Medicago truncatula: one gene and its partner. The protein of the gene in region 1 interacts with the protein of each later gene in a pairwise test. Links are inferred from orthologs where the notes say so. Each region holds a gene or a part of one and is shown on either strand. Other genes may lie near its edges.

Region 1 (16,558 bases):
TTGTATTTTTTTCTTCTACATATCATATCGACACTTTATTTTATTAGTGATTTTTTCTTGTTTCCTAAAGGTTGAGAAAGTAGTTTTACTCGAATTATGTTTGACGATAGATGAGAAAAGTATACTTTCTTATTGTGAAAAACAATATTGTATTTTGGATCCAATACACATCTCACATTTACTAAATTTGTATATGGCTATAACAATACACTTTTAGACGAGGAAAAAAAAATTAAACCTACTTCATGTGTCACTATTATAAATAAATAAATAAAAAACTCAGTAGGTTTATTGAATAGATGATGCATCTAATCTATATATTCACTTTGTGAGACAATAATTTTAATAAAATAATATATTAAAATCAATGGTTAAGATTTAGAGTAATTCTTTATGCTCTCCACCATTATAAAACATCAAGGTCAACAATACCTTAATGAAACAATACGAGACCGCCAACAAATTAGTTCAAGTGGTAAGAGATTTGAACCTCTCAAACAAGTGGTAAGGGGTTCAATTTACAACTTTTGTATATGAAAAAATTTGGTTAAGAGAGGACAACTCGCTTGATGTGTCCAACAAATTTTACAAAAAATATTAGTTTTTTTTTAGGAATTGAAGAGTATTAGTTAGTGTGATAAACCGTGGCAATAACTTTCTACTTATAATTCTCTAAAAAAATAAAAAATACTTTGTACTTATAACGAAGTTAAAAAATTATGGCCCTACCGTATTTAACATTGATTGTAATCAAAAAAAAAAATTAAGGATTTGTTTTTTTTTTTTTAAGAGTGCATTGATTTGGTAAAGTTTTCTCTGTGTTACCGGTGCAAGAAACTTTAGGGCCATCTAATCAAATCATAGCACAAAAAAAACAAGATATAATACAAGAAGACAATGCTCTTGAATAATTAATTAATTAAACTTCATATCATGCAAGTTACTCTCTAATGGACAAAAATAGTAGCTTTTTTGTCCAAAGCTACCATTCATTCAATTATCCACATCAGGCAAAAAAATCCAAAATAAGAATCAAACAAGATTCTTCCTTGGTATCTAGCTAATTTGTTCACAAAACATAAACCTAGTAAAGTTCTTCTGGTCATCACGAGGAAGAAAATCCAAAGAGAATACTCCAACAACAAATTGATCCACTTCAACTCGATATATTCGATATATGAGTAATGCTAGCAACACTTTTTTTTCTAACAATATCTCAATACCCACTTTCGTATTGGTTTAAATCATTGTGAGTCAACACTTTGAAAATTGAATACACACAAAGTAGTAAGACATATATTAATTTCATCCAATAAAATAGTAAGTGCTAGAAAAAATATTGAAAAGTGAGTGTTACTAGCATTCTTCCTAGATATGTATAGGGCTTGCCTTCTTGTTTGTGATAGTTAATTGAAAATTTCTCTATTCATCTCCAATATACTCAAAGGATGGATGCAATTTTTTTGCTCGCATTGGATGGAAGGTGGAAGATGAAATAATTCTTCAATATATAATAGTCTAATTAAATTTTCTTGATGTTTATTTTAAGCATATGGAATATCAGCATGAGTATGTCCCATATCATACTCCACGGGAACTATAATTTATATGTTTATCTTAAGTCTCATAAGTCTAAGCCATCCATAAAACTATCTAAAAAAATAAACTAGTTAATTTCTTCAAAAGGTCAACAAACATCACCACCGCAACCCTAACCGACGTCGCAATCACGGGAGTCGAAATTTGAATTTCCATCGTTGGAATCGCAACCCTAACTGGTATGTGCTCCCTTATTCATGGTTTGAGAACTCGGAGAAGAAAGAAAAAGAAACGTTTCATTTCAGGAATGTGTTATTGTAAATGTAACTATTCAGCGAACGTTTCAGTCTTTGGGCTTGTAGAAAAGACACTGAGTTTTGAAAAAAATGGGCCTAATATTTTTTTAGATGTAAACTCATAAAACTCGGTAAACTTGATCGAGTTTACAAGAGTTTATCGAGTGTTAACTCGGTCAAACTCGTCAAACCTTCCGAGTTTACTAGAAATCGAGTTTACCTTAGTGTTAACACGATTTTGGTACCTAAAAACGTAAACTCGGAGAGTTAACACTCGATTTGCGGAACATTGCACGGGAGTATGAAACTCATGACATATGCAAGAAGGAATAACTAAAAGCTCAATCGAAGGATTATGTTGAGAATCACCAAATTACTAGAAGCTCTATCACCAAATTTGACGAGAACGTCTGCACTCATATTACCTTATCTCCATATATCACTAGATTAATCCCTTAAAATTAAAATAAATATCAATATAGAATGGGAAAATCTATCAAACTATTTGTCTAACAATGGCAATTGATAATGAAAATATCATATAATTGACTTGTGCATCGCACAAGGCAGACGTATAATATACACTACTAAAAAAACAAAAATTAGTGAGGGAAATTTTGTGAGGGAAAACGTGAAATCCCTCTCTAATTCCGTCACTAAATTTTGCGACCATGAAATTTGTGAGGAATTTTATTTTTTCCGTCACTAATTTCCGTCACTAATTTTGCTTTTTCTAGTAGTGTATATTGATTTTCAAAAAGAAGGAGAACAATTAAGTTTATAATGCTCTTGGCAAAACAAAAAAAAAAATAGTTTGTAATGTTCCCTCTCAAAGATTTTTTTTTGAGTTTGTAATGTTCTAGCAAATTGAGTTTGTAATGCTCCTCTTAAAACTTGTTCCAAAGAATAAAATACATACGGCATATGATTGTAACTTGTAATGTAACTGATGGAAATCATATAAACCAATATCATTTTTGTAAAAAAAAAATAAAAAAATATTATTTTAAATAGTATCTGTCGTAAGATATAAAATTGAAATACAATCAATCAATTGACCTTTAAGGTTAAAATAATATAAATTCACATTTTAACAAGTATTAAGCTAAAAATTATGTAAAAAAAAAACTAAAGATTACTTTTAACTTTTGAAATATTATAAAATATCAATGCTCTAAGGCATTATGCATTCGACTCATCTTATTTATATATTCAACGTCAACTTTTTCATCTAATATGCGACTCTTACTCGAACACATTTAATATAAACTTCTAAAAAATTGTCTAAAGGTGGACATCTCTAAAGCATGAATACTAGTAAAAAAAACAGTGAAACACTCCTACAATGATGCGTTTGTATCACCGGTACACGTACATAGGACTGTATTTTTGTTTATTATTCTTTTGTGAATGAAAGTTGTGGTTTTCTCTTATATATATTACTATAATATATTATTATTACAATGTAATATTATTTGTGCATATGAGCTTCTTTGTTGTTGTATCTAACCCTAATTTTCTGTCAAAAAAAAACTAACCCTAATTTATTTTTTATTTTATATATTTTATTATGATATTTTTGTTGTGAATCGAAGAATTTTGCTCTTTTCCGTTATATTATTTATATAACAAAACTCACCAAAAAAAATATTATAACAACAAAACCATGTTTATATTGATGCACCAACACCTTAATTTTTTAAAAAATTATCGTATTTTCATACACGAATATGTACCGTACCGGTACCGGTTCTCATGTCTTTTGTATAAAATTCATCTTTTAATTAAAGTAAAGGTCCATGTTAGAAAAGTCCCTCTTAGTGACACTTACTAAAATTGTTATGTAAGATCAGATTTATGTCTGTTCATCCCCCTAAAACTCACAATGTATCTCTCAATAGCAAAGTTTTACTATAAATAAGTTAACGAACATTGAAATTTCAACAACTTGTTTTCCTTTTCTGTAAGTTGCAGACAAGAAATAAAAATTATCAAGGTATGAAATTATAGAACTTGAGAATATATATTGTAGAGAGAATTTTGGACAAGAATACTCTACCTTTGACTTTATAGTACAACCAATCATAGACCGTTAGATTAAGTCATTAAGATATAGTCTTTTAATCTAACGGCCTGTAGTTGGCTGTAGATTATCCTTTTTTGGGGAGTTTTATATAGATATTCAATGTGACCATCCTAATGTGATTGGTAAACCTTGAGACACCGAGTTGAATTTGTATCACAAGGAAACTAGCCACTTTAATATGGTGTCATAGTTATCTTCTGGTTGAAAGCAACCCCACCCCTTAATTTCTTTGCAATATATGTGGTCCTAAACTTATATGACAGTCTAAACTCTAAAGTAGTGGCGATTGAGACAAGTATGCTGCTAAGCTATTGAAAGAAAAGAAAGTTGAAGATAAGTGGGGAGAACGGCATGCATAAATGGAAAAGACAGACAGAGAGAAAAACCATCAAATTTTTGTTAGTGTACTATGTAGGTATAGTGCTTTCAAGTGTGGATGTGGACTATTACCATTTTGAAAAATAAGTTGAGGAAATCATGCTGTGTTTTGGATTACAATTGGTCAATAGGGCTTTAGAGTTTAGAACATAGATGCCGGTGGCAAGTACAAGCACACATGTGCACTATATATTGCACAATAGCAATAATATATACATATATATCTCTATCTTTACAAAATAACAATCTTGGCATTGATAAAGAAAGAGTTAAATCAAGTTATAAGACAAAATTGGTTAATGAATTTTGTTTAAAATTTTAGCTAAAATAATCTCTGAGTCGAATATAAAATTATTAAAACCTCGTAAAAATTAATTAAGACAAAAAGAGATATAAAAGTGGTTACCTAGCTATAAATATCTATCAAGTTAAAGAAGATAAGCACGCATGGGAAGAGGGAACCAATAACTACTACAACATTCTCAAATAGATGTGATGGATAGATATAGATACATCATACATGGACATCTACTATATATCTACAATACTATACACCACAAAGAAAGAGTGATGGTGCATCTCTTTTTGGTGAAAGTGATGTTCTGAGCAACCCCAGTCAAAGGGAGCATATTGGCTAGCTAGCTACAAGTATACTGCATACATATATATGGATGGTTGGTTGGATAGAAATAATAATTGTACTCTCTACTCTCTCCACCACTTATCTCCTTTTAGGGTTTCAAGCTAGATACACTCATACACGTGGGTTTTTTCTTTCTTTCTAAATTTCAAACAATTAATGAATGAATGAAAAATGCATGATAAATATTAAAGAAGACAGAGAATAATAAGAAAATAAACTATTTGAATTGGAGGTCATTATCTTGGACAAATACCTTAATTTGCTCATATGATAAATTCAGATTGCTCTTTAGACATCTAACAATTACTCATAGACATCTAAACATCTCACTGATATATAGTTAATTATCGTTTGAACGCTTTTTAATTCGGTTAAACCGATTTAAAATATATTGAATGATAGTTAACTACCATTTAGCAGAACATAGTTAAATATCATTCGAGGTATTTTTTTAGGTGTCTCTGAATAATTGTCAGGTGCCTAAAGATTACATCAATGAGAAATTAGTGTTATATCACCCTATATGTACTAATTTTGCCATAGTACCATACTATTAGCCGTAAACCCTTATTCTTTCATACTTATTCAATAACGATTTTTTTAATTGTGTTTTTTTTTTTTGGTCAAGTAGTCTAGTGACTAGAGAAATTCACCTTAAAGATGAATAAGTGGGGTGTCCGGGGTTCGAACCCCGGCCGCTGCACATATTGTGCATTATCCCTTACCAAATGAGGTAAGCTCATGGGGACTTGAATTGTGTTATTTAACATCCATTTATATGACAACTTTTGAGACAATTAAAATTTGGCTTAATTGCACTATCTTTGGACCCCTATCTTTCTAAAAGTTGCGGTTATGGCCCCCTAACTAATTTAAATACAAAACAGCCCCCTATGTTTTGATTTTTTGACAGTTTTGGACCCCCAGTCCATTAGTGAGGTGTCACGTGGCCCCCTAAATAATACACATGGCACCTCACTAATGGAGCGGGGGTCCAAAACTGCCAATGAATCAAAACATAGGGGGCTGTTTTGTATTTAAATTAGTTAGGGGGCCATAACCGCAACTTTTGAAAAGATAGGGGTTCAAAAGTGCAATTAAGCCTTAAAATTTTATAAAGAAAATAAGGAATTGACACAAAAAACAACACAATAGAGAGAGAGAGAGAAAGTAAAAATATAATATATGATAGAGAAAATTGTAACAAAAGTTTTAAAAAAATGGTTTTTCAAATATCATTTCTCAATTTATTTACATCTCTCTTTCTACCACATCATAGACAAATCACACAAAATGTCCCTATTTATATCACTCATAGTGTATAAAAGATGTATAAGGGTTGTATAGATGTCCGCCCATCTTTTTCTTTAGTCTAATTGGTTTCCAACATGTTTCAATATTTTCTATTATATATCAAATGAGTAATGATATTTGTACACTCATTTGATGATAATTTTTGTGACAACTTTATTTTTCTCTCTTTTTATTAATCAAAAACAATATATATAGAGAGAGAGAGAAAGAGAGAAAAAAATAAAATAAAGAGATAGGATAAGAATATCATGTAAGTAATAGAGAGAAAATTGTTCAAAAGTTGTCACAAATATCAAATATCATTTCTCATATCAAATATACTTGAGGACATTTTTTTAAAGGGGAGAATGCTCATTCCACATCACCATCTCTTTTTCAAGCCAAACATATATAGCATGCCAAATAGTAATGTCAAAGACAACAAATAGATGGGAAACAAATTCAACATGAACAAATAGGGAGGCATAAACTTCCTCAAATATATAATGTTTGATTCAAGATCGTTGACTCAATTTTATAGTATATACTTATATATACGTCTATATGTATTTTTTATTTGTACCCGTGTCAAGACGTATACTAACGTGTTCATCTTTTCACTTTTTTATTGCGCTTAACTGTGTGTTTGTTTTATCTTATTTTCTTATAAATTTGTTAGAATATATTATAAATTAGATAATGTAAATCTCCACTAACGTTCTACAACCTTGTCTCATTTTGTTTATATTTTTCAATTTTTTTTAAGTACATGTTTGCACATATCCGTAAAGCATCTCCATATATATCCATATACTTTTCTTAAAAACAAAAATTATAATATTTAGGGTTCATTAAGTTTTTAGTCCCTATAAATATTCACAGTTTTATTTTTAGTCCCTACAAAATAAAATCACACTTTTTAGTCCCTGTGATATTTTTCTTTAAGCATTTTAGGGACTAAAAATGTTGATGAAAATTTTTTATAGGGACTAAACATGCTGATGGAAAAATTTTATAGGAACTAAAAATGTTGATGAAAAATTTTATAGGGACTAAAAACAAAATTGTGAATATTTATAGGGACTAAAAACTTAATTAACCCTAATATTTAAGATACATATATTCATGAAGTGTCTCAGTTAAGGAGCATCACACCCCATACTTCTATTCTATACAAGGTCAATGGTTATAAGCTTGGTATACATACATATATAGTAGTAGGAAACTAAAGGTGTGGGTGTGTAAGGGAAGTGATTGAAGAGGGTTTTAGTTTTCTGTCAATTCTCAAGCTGTGCCCACCACGTGAAGTGGCACACACAAACTATAACTTTTTCTATCCACTCACTTTCTTTCATTTTATCTTCCCTAAAGAGGTTATAAACTTTTTGCTCAAAAGCAAACCATATGATCCTTGTCTATAAACATTAAATCACTCTTGTTTGATTCTTTACCTTATTTCATATTTATTATTTATATTTATCTCCTCTTTCTTCTCTCCTTCCTTGCTAATTATACTACTCTCCTCGTAAGGTATTTTTATTTTCATTTTTATTATTATTGTCTATGTGCTGTCATTCTCATACTGTGTAGTACTTTGCATTTTTGAAGAAGCCAACTGTACAATTTATATATAGCATCACTCTCTCACACATACCGTGTATATATATATATACACGGTACTGGCAATGTCATAGAAGTAAAAAATTAATAGTACTTGTCTTACTCATCAAATTATGCCTTCCTTTATTTGCAGGGAGCAGAAAATATACACAAAAATGAACTGAAAAGGATGGAATTAATAGCTGCTGCTCTTACTTAAAGAGGAATTAACATGTCATTCTCAGGCTTTGGAAAGTCTCGATAATTAACAAGCCAAACCAAAATCTATAGCTATGTCTATATATATATATATATATATATTTCATCATCAAGACATGTACTAGCTAGCTAGGGCTATAGTTATTGTTATTATATATAAATAAAGATATATTTATAATATTGTTTGGTGTTGGTGCAGTACTGTCTATCTCAATCTCAATTCTCAACATATTCCAGATATGTATTCTTCAAATAGTTCCCTCAATGGAAATAACCTAGCATTTTCCTCTAAATCACCTTTTTGTTCATTTGAAAGCAACTCAACTTCATCAAAAGATATTGAAAACAGTCATTCCCCCTTTCCTCTTCCCAGTCCTTTCTCTTTCTTTCAATTCCCTAATTATCCTGATGATGATATTGATCCCTTTCAAGACAGCCATCAAATCTTCCTCCAACAACATGATGTTGATTTCCAACTTCATCATCCACCTGTTGTCATGAATAACAACAGTACTGATCATCATCAGCGGCCTTCCAATTCAACAATCAAAGCTAACAACAATCTTCTTCCTGCAGCTGCTGGTAAAGGCAAAACTGTAGTGGATCAGCAGATCCAAAGAAAAAGATCTAGCAAGAGAGACCGACACAGCAAGATCAAAACCGCGAAAGGACTAAGAGATCGGAGAATGAGATTGTCACTTGAAGTTGCAAAGAGGTTTTTTGGTCTTCAAGATATGTTAGGCTTTGAAAAAGCAAGCAAAACAGTGGACTGGTTGCTCAACCAATCCAAACTTGAGATCAAACTCCTTGCAAGAGAGAAAAATGTTAATTTTCCTACTAAGAGTGCATCTTCAACTTCTGAATGTACTGAAGGAGTTTCAAGCTTGGATAATGAAGTTGGAAATCAAGAAGAACCACAACAACAAAAACTTGTTATGAAGAGAAGAAATAGTACTAACAAGGTTTGTAGAAAGAGTGCATTCAATTCTATAGGTAGAGAAAAAGCAAGAGAAAGGGCAAGAGAAAGGACAAAAGAAAAAAGGAAGGCTAGAACATCACTAGTTGATGAATCAAATTCAAAGCAATACAATGAAGAAGGAATAAAAACTAACCTCATTTGGAACCCCTTTGAAAGTGTGGAAGAATCTGCAGGTACACATCAGAGTACTCAAGGTGTGACTCATCCTTCCTTTGATCATGTGAAGCTGATTGATGAGGCTGAAGTAGAAACAAGCTCTCAAAAAGCAAAGGAACAACATTCAGATGAAGATAATTCTTTGTTCATTATGAGCAAATGGAGTCCACCTATGATGTTCAATTCTCTCAATAACCTTCAACAAGTAAGTTCAAATTAGCCATGCATATATATATATATATGAAGCATGTATAATATATATCTGTAATCTGATATATATAAATCATGAAATTGTTTGCAGCATCAATTTGAACAATTTCACCAATCCATGGAAAAACCTTGGGAAGCATACAACAACCGCATTTAATTAACATGCTACCGTACTTGCACCCCTTATCATCACCTCCTCCTTTTTGTGTCAGTCAGGCTCAGAATAAAATGCATTATGCATTGCTGTGTTATTTCTTTGCTTTCCTTTTTGGAATGTTATGTGGTGAGGTATCTTCAGAATTTTGGAAACAATATTTCATAAATATTGTTGTGTGTGTATGTCATCTCTATTTAAAGTGTTGCCACTTTCTTGTTTGTTTCTGTTCTGAGTTCTGACCTTGAAATTGGTACAAGTTTACAATTTATATATGTGTCTCTTGTAAGGGGTATTTTTAATTGATGATAAAGAAAAATAACTGATTGATTTTTCTCCCTATCTGGTGAATATATGCAGTAATTAGTTATATATCATTACATTTTAGTTTTGAAATGGAGTTGAGGTGTGTTCAATTTAATGCTGCTGCTATTGATGTCATATCCATTTACATAACAGTGTTCCTGATCCTACCTGACATATTTCCACATGCTGTAGTTGTTTTTTCTTCTCTCAAAGTCCAACCGTCCCTTGAAGAAGGTTAGGGTTACTTGTCAGATGAGGATGTATTTAAAATTGTTTCCAAAACTATAATATATATTATGCATTTAGCCAATGTTTATAGAGGTCACTTTTTTTGTTTTTTGTTTTAATTGAGAAAGGAGAAGTTTCTATTAATCATGATGACAGTAACTAATGATCATTTTACAACTATTCTAGACGAGATTTAAACTTTGTTCAAATCAAGTTCCTACGACCTAATCGACACGTGAACTATTTATAGGTCACCGATTTAACACTTGGTCATCCGATATATATCTACTTAATTTGGACACATGTAATCCGCTTAGCGGTCTCAATATGTTTGTTAGGCTTAGATGAATATAGAAACTAATTTTATAATTGGATGCATGATGAAATTTGGTTTTTTTATTGGCAAAATATAGTAGTAGCTAGTTGTAGTTTTTGTTATAAGTTGTTTACACATAAGTTTAAAATTAGAATAGATTAATTACCTGCATATTAATTCCTTGAAGGTTAGGGTGATGAAGTGGAAGAGTGGTGCATATATCACCTAGCAGAACTTGTCTATACAAACTAGACAACTACAATATATACAAATTATTGTCATTCTTGCTCAAAAAAAAATATAGGTATATATTAGAGGGGAGGTAATGGTTTAGGGAAGTAACATATATGAGTTGAATAAAGAAATTCCCTTACAAACATTTCTAACAATTAGCTATTAATATTTGTCGTTTAAAAAAACTAGATCTTCATACGAGCTTCAATCACCGCATCAATATTAAATATTTGTACACATAGGAGTTTATGATTAGTTGAAAGTTACACAACATGCAAGTAAGATGATAAATATATCCAATACTTTATTATTTTGGATTAAAATGTGGTGTTCAATTTCACTTGTATGATTCCTTAAAAAAAAAAACAAATCACTTGTAAGTCGAATATGATGATATCTTTATCATATGTACCCATCAACAACATAAGAAATTTATATCCAGTGCTTGTAAGGGACAATTATGTCCAATATATGTTGGAATGCTGTAAACGTGTCTTCCAAGCCAGCAACACGATAGGGTCTAATGAGATTTTTTTTTTCCAAGACAGCAATGAAATACTCAACAAAGACAAACTATTTGGTACGTATATTGTGTCTTTTTTCGTTCAACATATGTCATTTTACAAATAGCCTTTTTTATCTATTTATTTTCCAGTTGTCTGATGTTTAATTTCTTAAATCGTACATGCGTGGTTCTAGCTAGAATTTCTTCTTATAAAGTTCTTTTCAATGATGAACGTAAGAATAATGGATCAACTTGCACTTACAGTTACATCCAGAAGTTTTGTAACTGCTGCAAAGGATCTGGACCCTTTAACATAAACAAATTATGCTTGACAAAAAAAATAAATTATGGACTACATAATTTGACTCTATTGTAGGATTGTAATGAAATATTAAACTCTATCAATATCTTTTATGGAGCTATAATATTGAGTTGTTAATTAAGCAGTAGAGGGATAAGGAGACTATTCAGCCTGCACTCCAACAAAATACTTTATCAAAAATGTGTCCTCCCTAGTATATATTTTGAAAGTCTTTATAGTAAGAATAAATTTTAAATATAAAACAAAATAATATATATCAAATTCAATGTTGAATCTATGGTGTACAAATAAAATAGTATTGCACTATGTATAATTTTTTTTTCCCCTCATTATTCAATCAATAAATCTCATTGTATTTCAGTTGATTTATTGGTAGGACTTATTGATCTAAGTGTGAAAACAAACTTGTACAAGATATAACACATACTTCACTTGTGCATCATATAAAACCATAGCCTAAATTCAACAAGAGATGCAATTATAATAACTTTATCATACAACAAATGTAAAAACAAAACAAAAATGCCCTTAATTCTTTATGCAGGGTTGTATACGTGGTTGGGTGGAGACTTGGAGTCCATATGTCAGATGTAATCATAGCTAGTTACATACAATGAATGTACCGTGAATGAGTCAATTCATGAATATATACAGCCGCACTTAACAAGTATAATTGCTTTCATTTTCCATAATTAGTTCCTCTCAATATATATATATATATATATATAACGACTAAATGAATGAATTGTCCATTTATAGGTTTTGGTAATAACAAAATGTTGACATTCTCCATTTAGCATGGTTTTATATAATTATATGAACAAATTCCTTATGAAATATATAGGATATTTCATTTCATTTAATTTCATGCACTGCACTGCACGCGGTCAAAAGTCAGGAGTCAACAAAGGAAAAGATAAGATTGCATAGCATAGCATATAGAATAGAATAGCTAGGAGTCCTTTATATGGCTGGTTTGTATTTAGCAGCAAAGAAAGATACCAAATTTTATACTGTATTTGTTCAGAGTATCAACTGCACTGCCACTCCCTCTCGTGTGGTGTGGCTGATTTGTGTCTTCTTATTTCTACCAAAGAAAGAATCTATAAAGTTTCAATTTCACAACAGGAATTTTCATTTTTTTCTTCTAAATTTCCTGTTAAATAATAATAATTTATTTTCATGACTTTTGTTTATTAACTGTGATACTTTAGATTATACGGTGAGATGTTATTCGAACGCACGAATACTCAGAAGCTAACATTTGTAGCTTTGGCAATGTCCCGACCAAAATGCATTGGGACGCAAGAAACTAGGGTTAAACGCGTATCTAAGCATTGTGTAATTTGTGACTTGTAAGGGGTACTGCAATACAACAAATATTCCAACCTTTTACACAATAGAACTTTAGACATCCTATAAATCAAGATAATAGACTACAACACCAGCCAGAAGCCCATAATATGTTGGAGTGGTATGCCTAAGAACATCCACAACGACCAAGCTAAGGTTTTAAGTTTTGCAATGCAGACCCAATATAAATAAACACCTTTATTACAGTGTTAAAAAATGTAGTGATTATTTCGAAAGGTTTTATATTAGAGACTCACTCTTCATTTTTACGCATCCTACTTAGTTTTTTGTTTTCAAATGAACAAATATTAATTAGTTGGCTCAAAATTTTGAGAATTGAAACCTTAGTTTGAGTTGTTTGGCTCTTGGGACGGACACCAAAGTCACCAAACACAAAGACATATATCCAAGTGCAACATATGTCCAATACCTTAAAGACAAAAGAACGTTGCTAAAAAGCACCACCTAATTGCTCAAAATTTCACGAAAACAAAAATCGCAATCTAGTTTCCGATACGCTTTTAAATTTAAATTAAAAATTGTCTATCGGAAATTACATTCCGATAGGTTAGGCAACCTGATGGGTTTGTTGAGTGTTATTATAGGAAGAATGAAGAAAAATTAATTCTTTAAATCCCTCCAATATCAACAAGTTTGTTTCATACTGTCACAAAATTGAAAAGATTATCTGCTGCTGTTTTTGCATACAACAAAAATATTGGACCTCTGCCTTTGCAATCAGAATTGTAATTTCATGCCTGTCTTCTCATTTCATCCAATCCATGGATCCTAGAAACAAATCCCTAAAATGGAAACAGCAACACACAGATACCCTAAAACCATGAACAACCAGAAACCAACCATCCCCGTATATCAAAAGCCATTAGAGTGAAAGTGTGGTTTGTTGTTTTTGGAGAGATAAATATTTGTGGGTTCTACTCCTCCACATATATTCCTAACAACTGTCAACATCTGTCATTAAAACAAAACCTAGAAAATCACCCATATGAAGAAAATGAAAACCAGATCTCAGATCTAAACAGTTGGAAACATCCTTAATTTGGAAACAAATCCATAAATGACACAAACTAATGAAACCAACTTCTTTATATTTATATTGTCAAAAAAACATAAAATCTTGTAGGATGCCCTAAAAGACACAACAAAAGCTGAAAATGCTTCCATTTCTGGAAAATTAGTAACCAAACTCAAATCCTTTCATCAAGAGTTATGAGAAAGGAGAAGAAGAATATCTCTTAATATCAACCAAACAAAATCACCATTTCGAGCTTACAACCCCTTTGACCAAAAACCCTTTTTGGCTTTTCTCATAGGATACCACAATCATTGTTATTGGTGGAAAAAATCATGAAAAGGAAAGAATTGAAAACATGACAAAACAAAAAAACAGGATAAAATATACCCGGATCCAGAAATCAGATAGAGAATATAGCAAATCCAAAAATATGCAGATAGGGTTAAGCAGAAGAGAAGGTTGTTTTATGATTATGAATAGCCCTAGGTAGGGCTAAGAAACCCTAAACTGGACAGTAGTGATTGACGCGTATATAGCTAGCACAAATGGAAAACACCAATGAAATAAAAGATGATTGGTCTGAAATAGAACATCAAATGTCGTCTCTCTCTTTTTGGGTAAAAAGATGGTTGTTATTATTAGGGCAAGTAAAGTAAATAATTGCAAACCAGGACAATGTGTTTTTCTTTCCCCCTAACTCTTTCTGCAGCTTAATTTCACCTCAGTACTCGCTCTGTCTCTCACTTTTGTTTCTTGTTCTTGTTCACTAGATCCCAATACTGTTGACTCAGCTCAAGGAAACATGGAAAAAAACCTAAAACATAATTACAATAAAGGTCTTGCTAACGAGTGTCTTTATGGCACTCTTCAAGCATTCTCAATTAAAAAAGAATTTACCAAAAATTTAAACACTTGATTTCTAATGCATTCAATATACAAGTTCTAAAGTTACAAGATTATTAACTTACTATTTAAGACTCTTAAAGAGTATCCTTAAGAAACTCGTTAGTTTTTCCCATATAATAATATATCATGACACGGATAGGAACAAACAATATATACTCCATACATACGTGGTTGGGAGTGTAGTTGGCTATGCTAGTGGATTTTAGTCATTGAGTATTCTCTAATAAGTAAATCATTAAGTTAGTCTCTGACTTTTGTCCAAAAAAAAAGTTAGTCTCAAACTTTGTAAGACACTCTCAGATAAGTCTTTGAGATTATGAATGTTTCAAAAAGATCATCAACTCTATTGAAATATCAATTACATCCTTATACTTTGATCATTTACTATCAATATCATCTCTAAATTTAACTTACTATCATATATGGTCCGAGACTCGAATGATGTGTGTAAAATCTGAATTAATTCCTACAAGTACACTCTAAAAGGAGAGATAAAAATATTTGTATCTCTCCCTTTGGAGTGCACTTGTAGGAATTAATCTAAATTTTCATCATCGCCAATTTTATCTTAGGAATGATTCATTTAATTCATCTTAAGTTCCTTTTAGCTGGCCAAACATCACATCCTCTATAGTATTAGTGATGCCTCTGCATATTCTTTTCTATATAGTCATTCCATCAACAAAAATCTATCTAGTTATTTATCTTTTACATCTCAATTCTCTAGTAAAGTTTGGTTTGTAAATTGTAATATATGGAGTGATGTTGTGTGATGGTAGTAGCCAATATTTTCTGTAACATGGTGTTATGCTTACATGGAAGAATGTATAGAGGGTTAGAGTACGTAAGATACGGTCTTATTATTTTGAAGAGGCAAAATAATAACTATATTAATTATGATAATATGTTTTCGGAAGGGTGTTCACGGGTCGGTTTGGTTTAATTTCGAGTGAATTCGACGCCCAAACCGATTCAAAGTTTACATATTGACTTTAGTTGAATTTACATGTTTTTGGTATAAAACCCAAATCAAACCAAAATATTATAACATTGAGAACTTTGTAAAATATAATATAATATCTAAAACTAACTTAAGAAAAATAAGCGTGGAACCAAGTCTCACACGCCTATTGTAGTATGACACAAAATCAAAATATTAGAACTTCCAAAATAAAATACTTATAAGTATGTTGTCATTTCTCTATCTCTATTTGTAACTTTGAGAATGACAAAAAAACCTAGCTTAACATTTTTATTTGTTGAGAGGAAAAACTTAGCTTAACATGTTTTTAATTTGGTTTGACTTTATACATGTAGATGTATAATACGTAAAATATTAACAAAAATAAAATAAAACATGTGACGGATTGGATATGTGAGTGACCGGGAAAAAATCTTAAAACATGTTGCTCAAACCAAATATTTGGTTCGATTTTGTTTCCGATCAATAAATTAACCAACTCAATCACTTCAGTTAGGTTAAGATTACAGTTTGATTCGGTTTTGCCAAAACTGATGAGTTAACATTCTAAACATATTAAGATTTTAACTTAAGGTGGAAATACGCCAATTTTAAAGGGGTGGTCATTACTTACAAGTTTTGAATTTTAAGATTGATATAGTTGGCTTATCTCCAATCATTACATAGTGAGAAAAAACACCAATTATGCATTTGTGGAATTAAAGGATAGTAACTAGGAAGTGATAATGCGGCACTGTGTATATGGAAAGAAAAAATAAACATAAAGTTACAGAATTAAAAGAAAATGGAAATTGGGCAAAAAAAATGGTTAGTATTTT
Region 2 (16,264 bases), on another chromosome or scaffold:
TTTCAAAATCGGAGGAGTTTGCTCAACTCCGGCGGCGGCGCCGCCACCCTTGGGTGGCCGGCCACCACGCCGGAGGAACAAACTCCGCCGGAGAAGATGAAGATCATCTCCTGTTTTTCCAGAATCCGGCGCGGTGAGGAAGAGAGAAGTGAGAGCTTCTCTCACTAGAATGAGAGAAGAGAGAGAAGGAGAAGAAGAATTATAAAAAAAAACCGGTTTCCCCCCCTTATAAAGCCAGTGAACCGGACCGGTTCAGGACCGGTCCAACCCCCCTTGGTTCCTGGCCGTTTGATCTAGGGTTTCAGGACCCTGGATCAATCGTGTGGTTCCTGTGCAATCTGAGTTTTGGTGTTGGGCTTTGGGTTTGGGCTTAATGTTCTGCACATTTCTTGCTTTTTTCTTGCTGTTCACACCCCTATTTTTTGCTACCTGCACCTATGTCTTGATTAAAATTGTGGTAAAATTCCTAGAAAAATTCATACATGTTTCTTGATATTTTCTTAGTGTTTTTATGACATTTTTGCACATTAAGGATCTATGAAATTTTGGTATAATTAATTCATAGCATTTTAATTCTCTTTGAATTATTTGTTATGGATTCTTCTTCACACATTTGTCCTTGATGTGAGAATATGTAATAAAAGCTACTTGATGTGTTAATATGAGAGATTTGTGCCTATAATTTCATGTTGATTTGCTGTTTTGATTTGGTTCATAAGTTCTTAATTTTATGAACAATATATGCATATTTTGAAAGATATAAAATGCCAAGTTTATTCTAGAGAATATGGCATGAAACCATGCTTGCATGTTTCCAATAATTCCATGCTATAACTTGAGATAAAGAAAACTCTTTCAAAATTTGTTAAAGCATGAGAATTAGAGGCCAAGAATGCTTTAGGTTTCATACCTAAGTTTTTAGGGTTTAATGTCATTTTGTTAACTTTTTGTGCCATCTTGCATGCTTTTATTTCTTAGTACTTGTTATTTTTTTTTTTACTAACAAGTTTACTTTGGTACTTCATACATATCGTTTAGCATTCCATTTCCATTCTTTTACATAGTTTAGTTTCTTTGCATTCATTTTTTTACTTTTATTTGGAATTGTAATATTTAGGTAGGTGTTATTTTTTATATTTCATGCAAAGACTATAGAATGTATCTAGGACAATGTAAAAGGGACTATGGACTCTATTGATGTACACCGACACGAGCACCGACACTCACACACGGTGTATGACATTCGTTTAGATGTATGATTAGGGAACGCGAGTACTTAGAAAATATTTTTTTTCGTAAAGCAAACCAAGTTCCATAATTCTAGCTTTTTTTTAAATTGAACTTTGGAGTCAACACTCCTTTGATGTTTCCTTTTACTTTCTTAAGAAAATTCTAAATAAACCTTAAGTGACTTAGACTATTTTATTAAGTAAAATTGGGCAAACTTCACATTTTTACTTCTCAAGCCTTTAAGGCCTCCTTTCTCTTCTTCAAAAAATCATTTTCAAACTTTAAAAATCAAATAGCAACACATTAAAATTTTCTTCAAATCAACTAAAAGATAAAAAGTCTTACAACTTCTCTCCCCCCATTCTTAACTAAATAAACCTCCCATTTTCAAAAGTAAGTAAAAATAAGCGTGAATATAGACTTAGGAAAACGGCTCCTATAGAGGACTATAGTTACTCCGGGTGCCTAACACCTTCCCGTAGTAAAACCGACCCCCGAATTCGGAAACTCAAGGGTTTTTCTCCTTTTACCCTTCCCAAGAAAAAAGAGAGATATCAACGGTCGAAAGGTACAAGTCCAATTAATGGCTTGGCACCCAAAAACCATGATAACAACCAGGCTTCTTACAATTGAAGCATCCCTTCTGATCTTCTTTCTTGGAGTTCTTGTAGCTACCTCTCTTGCTCAAAAATTTCTTCTGCTTCCTTGCCAGATACTCAAGCTTGTTGGACAGCATAGCCATCTTTACAGATTGATCTTCATCAGAATCTCCATCAGGTGATTCTTCTTCAGATTCACTGGCTTTGTAGGCTTTGGAAGATTTTGAAGTCTTTCCTTTAGATGGTAAAGCAATGGATTTACTCTTCTTAGAGGTTTCATGCTCATTTAAACTCATTTCATGCACTTTGAGTGAGCTAACAAGATCTTCAATACTTAAAGTATTTAGATCCTTAGCTTCCTCAATAGCAGTTACTTTGGGTCTCCATCTTGAAGGCAAGCTTCTCAAAATCTTACTAACATGATCAGAAGCAACATAGCTTTTCTTCAGTATTTGCAATCCAGAAACTAAAGTTTGAAATCTTGAGTACATTTCTTCTATACTCTCATCATCCTTCATTCTGAAAAGTTCATACTGATGAACTAGCATCAAAGCTTTAGCCTCTTTCACCTTCTTGCTGCCTTCAAAGTTTGCACATAGAGAAGCAAACATAGCCTTCGCAGTAGATTTGTCACTCATCTTCATGTATTCGGTGCGAGGTATAGAAGCCACAATGATTCCTCTTATCTTGTGGTGTTTCTTATAAAGCTTCTTCTGAGCAGGAGTATGTATTCTTCTGTCTATAGCAGCTCCTTCTTCATCTAAATCCATATCATCAACTCCATCTTCCAGTATGTCCCATAGCTCTTCATCCAATCCCATGATAAAGCTGTACATATTTGTTTTCCACCATGAAAACTCTTCTGGATCTCCATTAAACTTTGGAGCTTTTCCAGAGTCTGTTTTCTTGTCAGCAGTATCATAGTCATGCTTGACACTTGTGTATTTTGTAGTAACTGATTCCTCATCTCCAGACATGTTTTTCTAATAGATCTTGAACTGTAACATGGTTAAGTGCTGTGATAACAGAGCAAGCTCTGATACCAATTGAAGGTGAAAAAACACAAGAAGGGGGGGGGGGGGTTGAATTATGTTTTCTTTTTCTCTTAAAAAATACTTCTTCTGATAAAACTTCAGAAGCAGTTTGAGTGCTTCTGATGAAATGATCAGAGTCAGATTGCAGCGGAAAAGAACAGAGAAAAGAAAGACAAAGACACAAGCAGTTATCCTGGTTCCTTCCACAACACGGAAGTAGTCCAGTCCCCCTTGCACTTCCAAGGAGATTTCACTATAATCACAAAGATTACAACTGCTCAATACTTTCTAAGTATGAGACTTCACAAAAATGCTCAAGCACACACGCAAGAGTCTTCCAATGCTCAAGCACTAAGCAAGAGACTTCTAATGCTCAAGCACGCAGGCAAGAGACTTCTGATCAAACAAAAATACAGAGAATTGAGTTTGACTTGAACACTTGATATACAATCAGTGGTGTTCACAATACAATACAATAAAGACTCTAGACTTTGAATTTCTAAGATGTATCAAATCAGTGCAGAAATTCAGTGTGCTTTGTAGAATCAATTTGACAGAGTTTTGGTGCTTTTGAACTTGTATATCTCTATCTCATATCTTCAAGTCTTCACTCCTTTATATAGAGGTGTGAAAGAGACGTTGAGATAATCAGCACGTCTAAAGAGTCGTTTGAAATCCTTTGATCATCCACCAGTAATCCTTTGCCTGATTTGGGTGTAGTCCTTTGAAGAATAAGCTTCAAATTCATTCCCATCTTGAACGTACAACTTCTGCAGGCATGGCTGTTGTCTTGTCTTGTAGCGTAGATAGAAAACAGAGTAGTGGAGATAGTGGTTGTACACTTGTACTTTGTCAACTCTATTAACGAGAGACAAGTGCTCAGTGCTATCCATATATCCGTTGATACCTCCCTTTCAATTCTTCGTTCTTCTTGGATAAGACTGAATTGAGAATCAGCTACTTTGAATCTTCAGTTTGTTTAAAGGATCAAACGTAGCTTCTTGTGAAGATATTGCTTCTGATGAAAACCTTTGCTTCTGATGACCTTCTGCTTCTGATGACGTCATCACTTCAGAAGCACTTCAGCTTCAAGAGCAGTTTTCTTCAGATGCTCAGAATTTCTTTTTCTTTCAATTGTTCTTCCAAGACCTATTGAAATAACTTGAGTAGCCTTTGGTCCTGTACACTTGAACAATTATTAGTAATAACCAATTGACAACTTTTAATACCTTGTTATCATCAAAACTCAATAAGGTTCATTGTAAAACACATTTTGTTCCAACATAAATATCATTTACTTTTTGTAAAAAAAAATTAAGATAGGCAGACATGTATCATTATCTTATGAGTAAAATTTTATTTATCTCTTACTGGACCCCATGAACTAGAATAACGGTACCTAAACTTTTTCTTTGAACCATAATAGTAGCTAAATTATTCTAAATCTATCCGGTTATCTTTGTACTATCACTCTATTTTATACTTTGAAACCAATTGAGTGACCAAGTATTTGATAGATTACATGACAATTCTTTTTTAGGGGAAGAAACTCAAATCATTCCATTAGATAAATAGTGAGAGATATAAGGTGGTACATCAATAAACAATTGAGAGATTGAGAGTTAGTTTTTAATGGGTTGTCTGTCCTAACTCATAAGCGACCTCAATTGCTTGCCTTCGGTTAAACTCAACCAAAGAGTTGTTAAATGACAAACCTAACAATTGTATACGTTGTTAAATAATGACGTCGAGCCCATTGTTATAACTATGGTTATTATTAATAGCATCGACCACAACCTTTGAATCCAATGAAAAATCCATATTGTCAAAGCCCAAATTAGCTAACCACTGTCAAGTATTAAACAACCCCAATGCTTCACCTATTTCCACTGAACATAGAGGGGAGAACCAAGTGGTGTTCGCAAGAACAAAACAACCTTCAGCATCACGAATATACATACCAATGCCAACTTTATTATAAGAGGGAGAGAAAGATGCATCATAATTACATCTAAGTTTACCTGGTGCAAAAGCGGCATCAGTTGTTGTTGCATTCCTTGTTCGTTCTTGTGCAAGCTTCCAGTCTTATAACATATGTGTACCACACTCAACAACTTCTGATGTTGTTTCATCAATGTGTTACCATACTTTTTAAATTCTGACATTTCCTTAAGCTACAAAAAACAGTTTCAAAGAGAGAACATTTGTGACGGGTGAAGGTGATGTAGTAATTTAAGCACAATCGCCTTTGTATTATCATGTTCGCTCAAAATTTGTTTAGTATCAACTCGTAAGTTTGTTGTATGCCATTCCTGAACATACTAGAGACAAGTAAAGAGAGCATGTATGGTATCTTCAATACCCTCGTTACTGATAACACAATCAATGGGGCAAGCAACTCCTCTACTGATAAGGCGTGCATAAGTAGGGAAACAATCATAACATACCGTTAAAATCAGATTTTTCACCTTTAACGGAGATTTGATATTCCAAATAAAATTCCAATGTCCCGGCCTTTGAAGGTGAGAAGTGTCTCCAATGTTTTAAGCACAAATTCGGTAAGCGCTGCATACAAAATACTTGCCATTCTTTTCTCCTTTCCATACCAAGGTGTTAGTTGTAACTTGTGGTAAAAGGGGTATATTGAGTGGTATGCAGATCAAACAGGAAAGCCAGAAGATGAGCTTTCCAAGTCTTGGTTGCCTGATCAATCAGTTCAATATCAAGGAAGATTAGGTTTTTTATTCATATGTTTAACGACGATAAGGGGGGAATTATGTAGTTTTTCGTCCTTTTTCAAGCGTTCTTCCCGTCTTCAAATGGCTTGAAACGTAAGATGAAATTTCTCCAACTTGTATTGTCTTTACGTTCTAATAACCATTGATCCTAATTCTTCAAATTCCTTGATTCTCAAATCCCTGATCAATCAGAGTCTTCTTTCCTTCAAATGATTTTGAATGAAAATTCTCTTATGAACAAGATGTTGACTTTCTAGTTGACCTTTCTTTAGATCTTGTTTCAAGTCATAGTAGCTTCTCTATTTGGTTCAAATTCTATCTTATGTGTTCAAATCCTTGATGTTTCAGAACCTAAACTTGACTTAAGAGTTAGAATTTAATTTTAATGTCCTACACATTTGAACACACATTAGCATATCCAATTGTTCTTTTATACTTTGTAATCATCAAAACTTATGAGGCATTTATAAAACTCATTATGGTTCAACAATTTCGGTTTAAGGAAGGAAGATTGGTAATACTTCAATATTTAGTAGGAATCCGTAGGTTGAAAATCTAACTCAAAGTTGTTTGATTAGCCGACTCTCAAAAAAATATCCCACCTTAACCTAAGTCATGTTACAACCCTGCAAGACCTTAAAGCGTTCCCAAACCAAGCAGTTCTTAGGTGTTTTGATGTAATTCAATGTAAAATCATACAAATCGGCAAAGCAAAGCATCTCAAGAGGGTTTGGGAAGATAATGGATGATGATTCAAGAGGTCTCGAAAGACATTGCAAAGAGAAGAAATTATATTCCAAGTTACGAGACAAGTTTCAAGGAAGAAAACACACAGAAAGATCAAAGAAAACGGCAAAAATGCGTTGCCTAAGGCTACTCGTGCCCCTTGGGGGTGTTGTTGCGCCCCCCGAGAGTGCAAACATTGAAGTAGCGCGCGAGGCATGCCATCCCACGTTAGAGGGGCATGTGCCTTCGGTTGAAAAATTCTCATACTTAGCACCTAGGACTAAAAAGTGTGACATACCTAGCACCTATGACTGAACATAGAAACATAGCAAAAACTCTCTTCTAAAGTTTCATACTATATCTTATTATTAATTGTTTTTACTTTCTGCATCTAATAAGTAACACTAGTTAAATAGATCACACACATATAACTTATTAAACACGGACACTGACACATCAACACTGTTAATGTAAAAAACTTAGAACACCGACACCGCTACACATATATTAATTAATTTATTATAATTAAATAAAATATTAATATTGTTTATAGAATATCTAAATTGAGATCAAATTATGTACAACTGCATGTAAATTGAGCAATTTATTTTATTAAAAAACAAAATATAATAATATATAACATTTATTTATCCATCTGTTATCGAAAAAATTAATAAGGTTGTAATCTCACTTAATATATTTAACCTCTATTTGATCAAACATAGCTTCAACACATCTTTAACTCTTCTAGATGTGTTTGAGATGTGTTCAAAGACGGTATTAGATGTGTTGAAGCAATGGGTATTTTTATTTTCTTTTGGATACTTGACTTAGTTTGAGCGAGACATATCATACGGGTTTGAACACCGATCTAAAGAGTGTTAAAGCAAAATAAAACAAATATTTTAGAACATCAGTCTGAAATTTCTGACACATATCATACGAGTGTTGAACTTCGACTCGTGCCTGTCATCACATGCTTGAGGTGATTGTGTTTCATAACATATAAAAGTTGCTTATGCAAGTTTCTATTTTAGAGGTTAATGCAAATAGTGATCATATAACTTTTTTTGAATGGCTTACACTATACACGTATAAGTCACCAAGCTAGTTTTGGGCAAGTACGTACACAACTATTTTTACTTTTTAACAGCTGTGTACAATGAACACAGCATACACCCATCTGTTTCACATAATATAGGCGTGGAAGTAACTAACTAATGATTTACCTATTTTTTTTACCTTGAGATTACTGTTGAAACTGTCATTACTAAAATAAATGATTACTACCTAACCATATTTAAAAATTAACATAAGTGGCTGCTGATCAAATCAAGATTTGGCTTCTAGTTCCATATTTTATATATTGTTTTTGGAGGTCCCTGCATCTATATACTTGAGTGGTTTTTGAGTCACCAAATTCATAAACTTTTCACTCTTTCTTGCTCTTTGAAACTACTACTTCCATCCCCACTTTAGTGTACATTAGGTATATCCTCGCATATAATTGCAGAGATTAATCGTTCAAGTTGGATCAGATCACAATAGAGCGCTAAATTTTTCTTAAATAGTTTCAGCGTTGTTGACTTTTCATAAGTTCCTTTTTTAATTTTCACATGAATTTTTTTATAACTATGTTATTGTTGCGAAATATCGAATAACTTCAGTTGAAAAATCTGACTAACCTTCTTTAGCAAAGTCTCTCTCCCAACCACATTTTTTCATTCACACAACTCGAATTCAAGACCTTACTTAAAAGATTTGAGTCTAGTTCCACCTAGACTAATATAATATTGGTAATTTTCAAATAGATAAAGAAAAGTAGTAGGGTTTATAAATGCATCCAATTATGATTTTTCATCTTCCAATACAAATTAACCGTATCATATTAACAATAATAAGGAGTATATTTAAAAAATAATAATAAATATATCTAATAATTTGAGGGACGCATTTTATTTTTACTAAAATGCCTAAGCAAAAATGTTTTTACCAAAATATATTTATAATTAGAAACATAGCTGATATCATGCCTTCTTCAATATTCTTTTTCATCCAATTAGCTTATGTCATTTAAGTAAACAGGTCCATTATCTAAAAGAGAATCATCTTAGAAATAACACACTACGCACGTTCATATAAAATAAATTGACTTCAATTGAACACCATTTTTTCTCCTGCACCTACTTTAGCCTAAACAGTCTTCCAATTGAATTATTATACTCCCCATTATATGAACTACTTTTGTATAAGTTTATCTGATGTAAGCATATTTTTTGTCCAAAAATGATTATCCATTAAACCAAGTTGCCTCCCCCACACGTTTGTGTCACTTGTGTTGTGGATGTGTTTATCTATATGTATGTGTAACATCTTATTCATCCATCTAGCTTGTTCAATGAACCTAAGGCCCCACATAATGGGAATAGGATTCCGTGTTGTTATAGCATGGTGTTGTAATTAGTGATAGTCGTCCGATCACAGTTGGATGGTAGAAATCGTTTTAATTAAAAATACACAGTTTTCAATCTCAACCGTTCTATCTAAGATGAACGGCTGAGATAAAAAATTATGTAAAACTGCGTGTTGTTTTTAAAGCAGCAAAACCTGATCCCACATAATGGATGTTATTATACATGTACATGAATAAAGAAGCTATGTTTAATTTGCTTGATTGGATTAGCCTATTTAGCTTTTCAAAAACTTTATTAAAAATGATCAAAAGAGTTTTGAGCTTAAAAGCTATCTCTTTTAAGCCAAAATAAAGTAATCCATCATTTTTAAAATACCAAAATGATAGTTTGGATGGATTCATTTAAAAGACACAAAATATAGATAATATATTAAACAATTTTTATTCTTCAATTATCCTTCAAAAAAAAAAAAAAATTTTATTCTTCAATTCATTTGTGTTTTTTTTTCTTCTTCAAATAGAGTTCTCTATTTCTTTCGAAAAATGAAGATGATTATGATCCACTAAATAAATGTCATTAATGACATATTAAGATTGTCAGAAGAGTCTAAATTCATGGGACACAGAGACGCTCACAAACAAAGTAATTCTACACTTACACAAACATGAATAGTAGACACATACACAAACATCAACAATAACTTATGAAAATAAAAGTAATTAAATGTAATCACATGTGACAGATACTAAATACATCTTCCATGTGTAAGTGCTACATAGATCTAACATAATATTAATTGCATATATAGAAAGATGACATGAGTGCAATGATCTACTCTACATTGACATCTTGTTACTTTCCATAGGGCCATTTCACCATTTTCCCTCCCTATATATACTAACTAGTCCCACTCATTTTCCATCCATCTCCAAATCAAATTAAATTCCATACTCCAACAATTTTTGCTTCAAATCCTCACAATCTTATATTCATTATTCCACCATGCAAACCAAAGAGATTAATACAGGACTCAATTATTTACTCCCATATTCAGATCCATCTCCCTATCCACCATGTAACTATAACATGATCCAAAACACCATCCAAACACCTCAACATCCAAAACTCTCCAACCAATTCTATGGTTTCAACCAAAACCCTATTCAAATTCTCCAAGACTTCAGTCCTCCATCCTCATGCATAAGCAGCAACTCAACTTCCGACGAAGCGGACGAACAAAACCTAGGTCTAATCAACGAAAGAAAACATCGAAGAATGGTATCGAACCGAGAGTCAGCACGCCGGTCGCGAATGAGGAAACAAAAACAGCTTGATGAGCTTTGGTCACAAGTTGTTTGGCTAAGGAATGAAAATCATCAATTACTAGATAAGCTCAACAATTTCTGTGAGACTCATGATAAAGTTGTCCAAGAGAATGTTCAATTGAAAGAACAAGCTTCGGAACTTCGACAAATGGTGTGTGATATGCAGTTACATAGTTCTTGTCTTCCTTTGAGTCCTCTTGAAGATGTTCCTAGCATCACTTCACCAAATGTTAAATCTGATTCTTCAAACTAATAAATCACAAGTTCTGTTGATTTGTTAGGGTAAATTTGAAGATAAGAGTCACAAGAGCAAGTTTTAATAACTCTTCAATTTTTCATCTTTTAGTTCTTCTGTTTTTTTGAGTTCTATGAGGTGAAACCATGAAAGGCAATAACATGTTTTGTTTAATTTGAGTATCTTTATTTTAAGTTTATGCTCATTAACTTTACTACTTCCTCTTTGTACCCAAAAAAAAAAAACTATGCAATTTCCTATTTGTCTATAAATGGTGTAGTTTTTAAAGTTCTAATGATTTCTTCTAAACAATAACATTTAAAATGGCTAAGGATAGAAATCCAAATAAATAATTCATAAACCTTCTGGTTAATTAATTGTTGGTCACACTCTGAATATTTTAAAACACTATCATGATTTCCATCCAGAGAACAATTAAAAAAGACTTGATTCGCGACTCTATTGAATCCCAATAACTAAAGAAATCAGAATAGATAAGGAGAAAAAGTAGATTATGTATACCTTTTTTTAATTACACTTTTGGTCCTATCATTTTGACCAACTCACGAAAATGGTCATATCTTTTTTAAATCGAACAAAATCGTTCCTAAACTATATGTTTTTTGCAGTTTTAGTCCTATCTCCCTATTTCCAACTCCAGAAACGCACAGAAATGACAGTTTTAGTCCAACCACCTATGCTCAACCATGAAATAAACAAAGAATAAAATGTGTGGGTACAAGGAATCTACTTTATTCAGCACACAAACCTAATTTCCGAGACATGTTACATACCTGAAACATGTCTTAGAAATTTGGATTTTTCTTGGTTTGTGTGCTGAACAAAGTAGATTCCTTGTACCCACATGATTTATTCCTTGTTTATTTCATGGTTAAGCATAGGTGATTGGACTAAAACTGTCATTTATGTGCGTTTATGGAGTTGGAAATAGGGAGATAAGACTAAAATTGCAAAAAAAACATATAGTTTATGGACGGTTTTGTTCGATTTAAAAGAGGCAGATCAATTTCGTGAGTTAGTCAAAATGCAAGGACCAAAAGTGTAATTAAGCCTTATAAAAAAGATTTTTTTTTATTGGAACCATCGTAATTAAGATCTTTGACATCTAAATAGTTCTATAGAGTATGCATAACTTCGGACCTATAGACCTACTATGAAATTAATCTCCACCACGGTGTTTAGGTTACAATAAAACTCTTCGAACTTTCACAAATATTTGTTCTATAGGGTCCTTTGGACCGGCTAGATTTATATAATTATATAAAGATGTTTTGATGTACCTATTTTTTTCTCCAATTTTACTCTTCATTTAAAATAGTTTATTTATAATTTTATTTTTTTCATCAAATCAAATAATTGTTTTATTTTTATTTTATTTTTTAGTGTCATTAATTTTTTTTTAATAATTACATAAAATTTTGTAACTTTGATTATTTTTATCGAGAAAAAATGGACAAACGAGTGTTTTAGTTCACTATAATATATACAGAAAATTCTTTACCAAAAGAAGGAAAGCAATATTCTGTACCACACCTTTCATTGTTCAAATGGCATGCTCTATCTCACTATATGCATGCCTATTACTTCCCAATAAAACAATTGATTTGATTAAACAATTTACCTTAGTATAAACCACTTAAAATATTATAAATATTTATCTTTTTTAATTGATTAGTAATGCATGTTCCTTCTCTTTTATTTCTTCATCTACATCTATTGCACAAGCATAATTGCTCCTTTGAATATCTGTTTTTGAAATACATACAAAAGTCAAACGAAAAAAGTACAAAACCAAAGAAACTATAGGACAATGTCCCTAATGAAAGTCAACATGAATAACTCATCCTTCTTCAGTTTCACATGGTAAAGAAAGTGTGAACATTACTTACAGCCTTTGGATTCTGTTAATTATACGATTCTCATAAAAAAGTCAATTGCATATATATTGCCTCCATTTCTTGATTTTCACTCACTTATGTTTTTAGGGAATTCATTTTCACTTTAAAAAGGTGAAAAATATAATCAAATTTGACAATTATTTTGTATTATTAGGACACAATTTTTTTTCTTAATTTATTCTAGAAAACAATTCACATGTTGCATAATTTTAGACTTTCACTACCCATACGCAAAAGAAATTTTTTTACCCTCTTGAAATTGGGTGTAACTGATGAAGAGTTATATATATATATATATATATATATATATATATATATATATATATATATATATATCCGATATGAGACTTGAGTTTTTTCAAATCACTTCTCCATATTTAGTGATAAACTTTTAGCAAATGTACTAAAAACTATTGAAGTAATAAAATGTTCGTATCCACGAGGACTGCGTTAACTTCAATATAGCAATATTTGGTATGAATTAAGATGTGTAAAGTTGGGAGGTTGCTCTAGGCACTTGGTTGATTGGCATAAAATAATAATAAAGCTTGTAAAAGTGTTGTGAAAATAATATGAAAAATCAGATCAACTCTGTCGAATCCTCTTGTTATCACTGTTTGGTAAACTGCACTCATCCTTAACAATGTTCTTCTAGTTCTACAATGATTAACAATGTTATCTATGATCAATTCCTTGACTGAGAGCTCTCTTCAATGGCTAGAGATTTATAATTCCTTAAGTGATCTAATATGCTATGAGGATTTTTACTATCGTACCCAGGAGTGGTAGTTAACTATCGTTGCAAAGTTTTTTTTTATTTGAACCAGGTTGCACATACAATTTATATAGTCCAGGCGCTCAAAAACTTCTATAAATTGGTGTGTTTGGTTCATTTGTTGTAAAACACAACAAAGACCATGCACACATATCCAGAAGATATGAACACCAAGTTAATCACACTAGGGGAAAACCTAATCTGCTTAGGGTCCGAATTGATGTCACGCTATCTAGGTTGAAGGATTAGTTGGATCAAATCAATCCCCGACTCAACCACAAACGCACACAGAGGGTGAAAAGTGTTGAATATTTCGATTCATTGACCACTTCAAGGGAATCACCTAGTTTGCCCAAATGAAGCTAAAAAATGACGATCACATGAGAATAACGTTCTCAGTATTTGGTCAGTATATTTCTAAAGGATCGATTGAGTTTAACTCTTCGTTGGTCATATCTTTCAAAGATATTCATGAAAGTTTGATTCAGACCATGACCTACGAAGAAATCAGAGCTTGCAAAGATGAAACATATGAAGAAGTTAGTTTGATTGATCCGTGATTTATTATATTGTATTTTATTATATGTTTTAAGTTGTTGAATCATGTTCAATGTATGTTTTTGTTGTCGTCATGCATGAATTGAATAATCTTGTCCAATTTTGATCAGAAGAACCATCTCATCTTTTTTTTTTTATATCCTTTTGCTTGTGTTATGTACAAATGCATTAAATGCTTGAAATGTGTTTTCTCTATAGAACCGGTAGATAACTACCATTGCAACAATGACAATTAACTACCGTAAATAAAAAACAATAGCTAACTCCTCTGAAATATATTGGGCCTGACTTTGACCCAAGATTCAACGAAGTTAAGATATCGATTGTAGAATCAACGGCTATGATTCATCGGAGTTGTTCCACCTAACCCACTCACGGAAGTTGGAAAATTTTGACCTCACATGCAACAAGCCTCCAACAGATACGTCTACAACAACAATAATACGGTTCTTTTTTTTTTTTTTTTTTTCTTCTTCTTCTTTTGGTACAAAAAATATTACGTTCTTATTATAAGATTTTTTTTAACTAAATCAAATTTTTTTTTGTTAGGTAGCGTAATGACTAAAATTCAACTTATAAGATAAATAAGTGGGATGTCCGAGGTTCGAACCCAGCCCCTGTATATAATAATGCATTATCCACCAACTGAGCTATGCTCACAGGACATATAAATCCAAAATTAAAAGTTATTATTATTATTATTATTTAAATTAATTTGTTTTGTTACATTTTTTTTTTGTCAAGTGTTTTGTTACATTTAAATTAATTATTTTATGACAGAATCAGAGAATATTAATAGATACCAAAATGGATTCATTTTTCTTTGTCTGAAAAGATTGGTGGTTGGTGGTCTTGATAGCCATCGTCGAGTCGACCATTGAATTTCAAGTTTCATTTCAACTCCAAATTTAATATTACAAATTGGTAAACTTTCTCACTTTTTTTATTCACACTCTATAATTTATATATACACCCACTTTTCTCAATTTCATTCACTCACTGTCCTCATTTTTCACCTAATCTCTTCAATTTTCAGGTCTGTCTTTTCATTTTCCTTTCTTTTTCGATTTTGGATCCACTTTCATATCAACTTCATTTGATTAGTTATTTATTACTGTGATTTTTGATCTTCTTAGTGATTTCTGATCTGGATTTGAATTAAACTCTTAATTTTTACTCTGATTTGTATTCTTTGAATAAATTGTTCTGTGTAATTTTTATATGGATTTAATTTCGGTGTACTAAAGTTTTACACATGCATCTCAACACATCTGATTCTAACTATATTGCTTTTAGACTTCTAGTTCTAAGTCATATATGATTGGTTGTGATGAGGTGATAGTGTAGAGTTTTTTACACTGATAGTGCATGGAAATTAAACTCTTACCTGTTATATGTGTAAAACTTATTTACACTAACAGGGTATACCAATTGAACGATCTTGCTTTTACACTGTCAATCAATCACAACTGTCATATCATTAGAAGTATTTGTTATTTATTTTACTTACTTCTAAATTCACACCCATGATTGGTTGTGATGAATTGGCTATTTGGTGAAATGCGATTAGATGTATGTGTAAAATGTATTTACACTAACACTGTATTTACAAAAAGGGAGTGTAAGATCTTGTGAAACTTGGCTGTCTTACTGTAATTTAGGTGACTTAATGATAATTCGGATTGTTTTTCTAATATTATACTATTGTACTTTTGAATATTTTGAGTTTTTGTCGAGGTCATTTGCTTGATATGTGAAAATTTAGGAAAATATGCTCTTGTTTTGTATTTGTGTGTAGGATACTTGAAAATTGTCTAAAACTTTAACAATTATCCTCGGAAATTTACCTTGAGTTATCTTTGTTCTCACTGCTAAGACCGTAACCTGATCAGTGTCGGTTCAACAAGAACAATGTGAAATGAATATATGTGCCTTAAAGAGTCAAAACAGAACTCATTCGTTTCCATTGAGTTTGTTAAACCAGTACAAATGAAAACCTTAATTTGTACTTGGATGAGTTTGTTTTAGTGGAAATACTGTTCTGATTTGTTAGTTTATACTCTATCTGCGCAGTAACATCATTTTTGTTTGAATTTAATTGATTTCTGCGCTGTCAGTATGGAAAAGTTTTACACATTCATCTAATTACATCTCATTATTATGCGACTTTACTGTATTAATTCATAAAATATCTCTAGAATTATATTATATATATGGTGAGATGTGATTGGTTGTTTGTGTAAATCTTTTTTGCAGTGACTGTGTATACCCCATTAAACTCTTTTTATCTTTATTTTTTCAAAAAGGGAGTGTTGCATCTTGTTAAACTTGTTAGTGGTTCTGTTTTTTAGGTGACTAAATGATGTTTTGGATTGTAATTCTACTACTATTGTACTATTGTATTTTTTTCAATTTTTTGAGCTTTTGTTGAGGCCATAGTCCTTGTTTGATACGTTAAAATTTAGGAAAGCATGCTGCTTGTGTGATATTTGTGTGTTTAATAGTTAATTCCAATCTTTTTGGACCAATGATGATGTATTTATCTTAGCGTGGTTTTGTTTAGTGAGGCAAATTAAGGTGCTCTAATGTTTCTGTACTATGATGATCATGGGATAATTTTGTTATTCGTAAATTTAGGGAATCTTAATACTTGATGTCTATGTTTGTTGGAATTAAAAGATACTTTTCTCCGTTTATTCTTTATTATTGGA

What was found.
Region 2: the proteins of transcription factor DICHOTOMA (region 1) and basic leucine zipper 43 interact in binary tests that used the Arabidopsis thaliana proteins (3 or more experiments, as listed by UniProt). The link is inferred for Medicago truncatula from reciprocal best matches to the Arabidopsis thaliana genes BRC1 and bZIP43.

Annotation. Positions count from the first base shown.
Region 1 is NC_053045.1:54,382,868-54,399,425, reverse strand, and holds transcription factor DICHOTOMA, read left to right. Parts: upstream 1-8,257; 5' UTR 8,258-8,292; coding exon 8,293-9,393; intron 9,394-9,489; coding exon 9,490-9,555; 3' UTR 9,556-9,894; downstream 9,895-16,558. UniProt on the Arabidopsis thaliana protein: Transcription factor that prevents axillary bud outgrowth and delays early axillary bud development. Indirectly required for the auxin-induced control of apical dominance.
Region 2 is NC_053048.1:5,995,304-6,011,567, forward strand, and holds basic leucine zipper 43, read left to right. Parts: upstream 1-9,625; 5' UTR 9,626-9,743; coding exon 9,744-10,319; 3' UTR 10,320-10,515; downstream 10,516-16,264. UniProt on the Arabidopsis thaliana protein: Probable transcription factor involved in somatic embryogenesis. Acts as a positive regulator of BHLH109.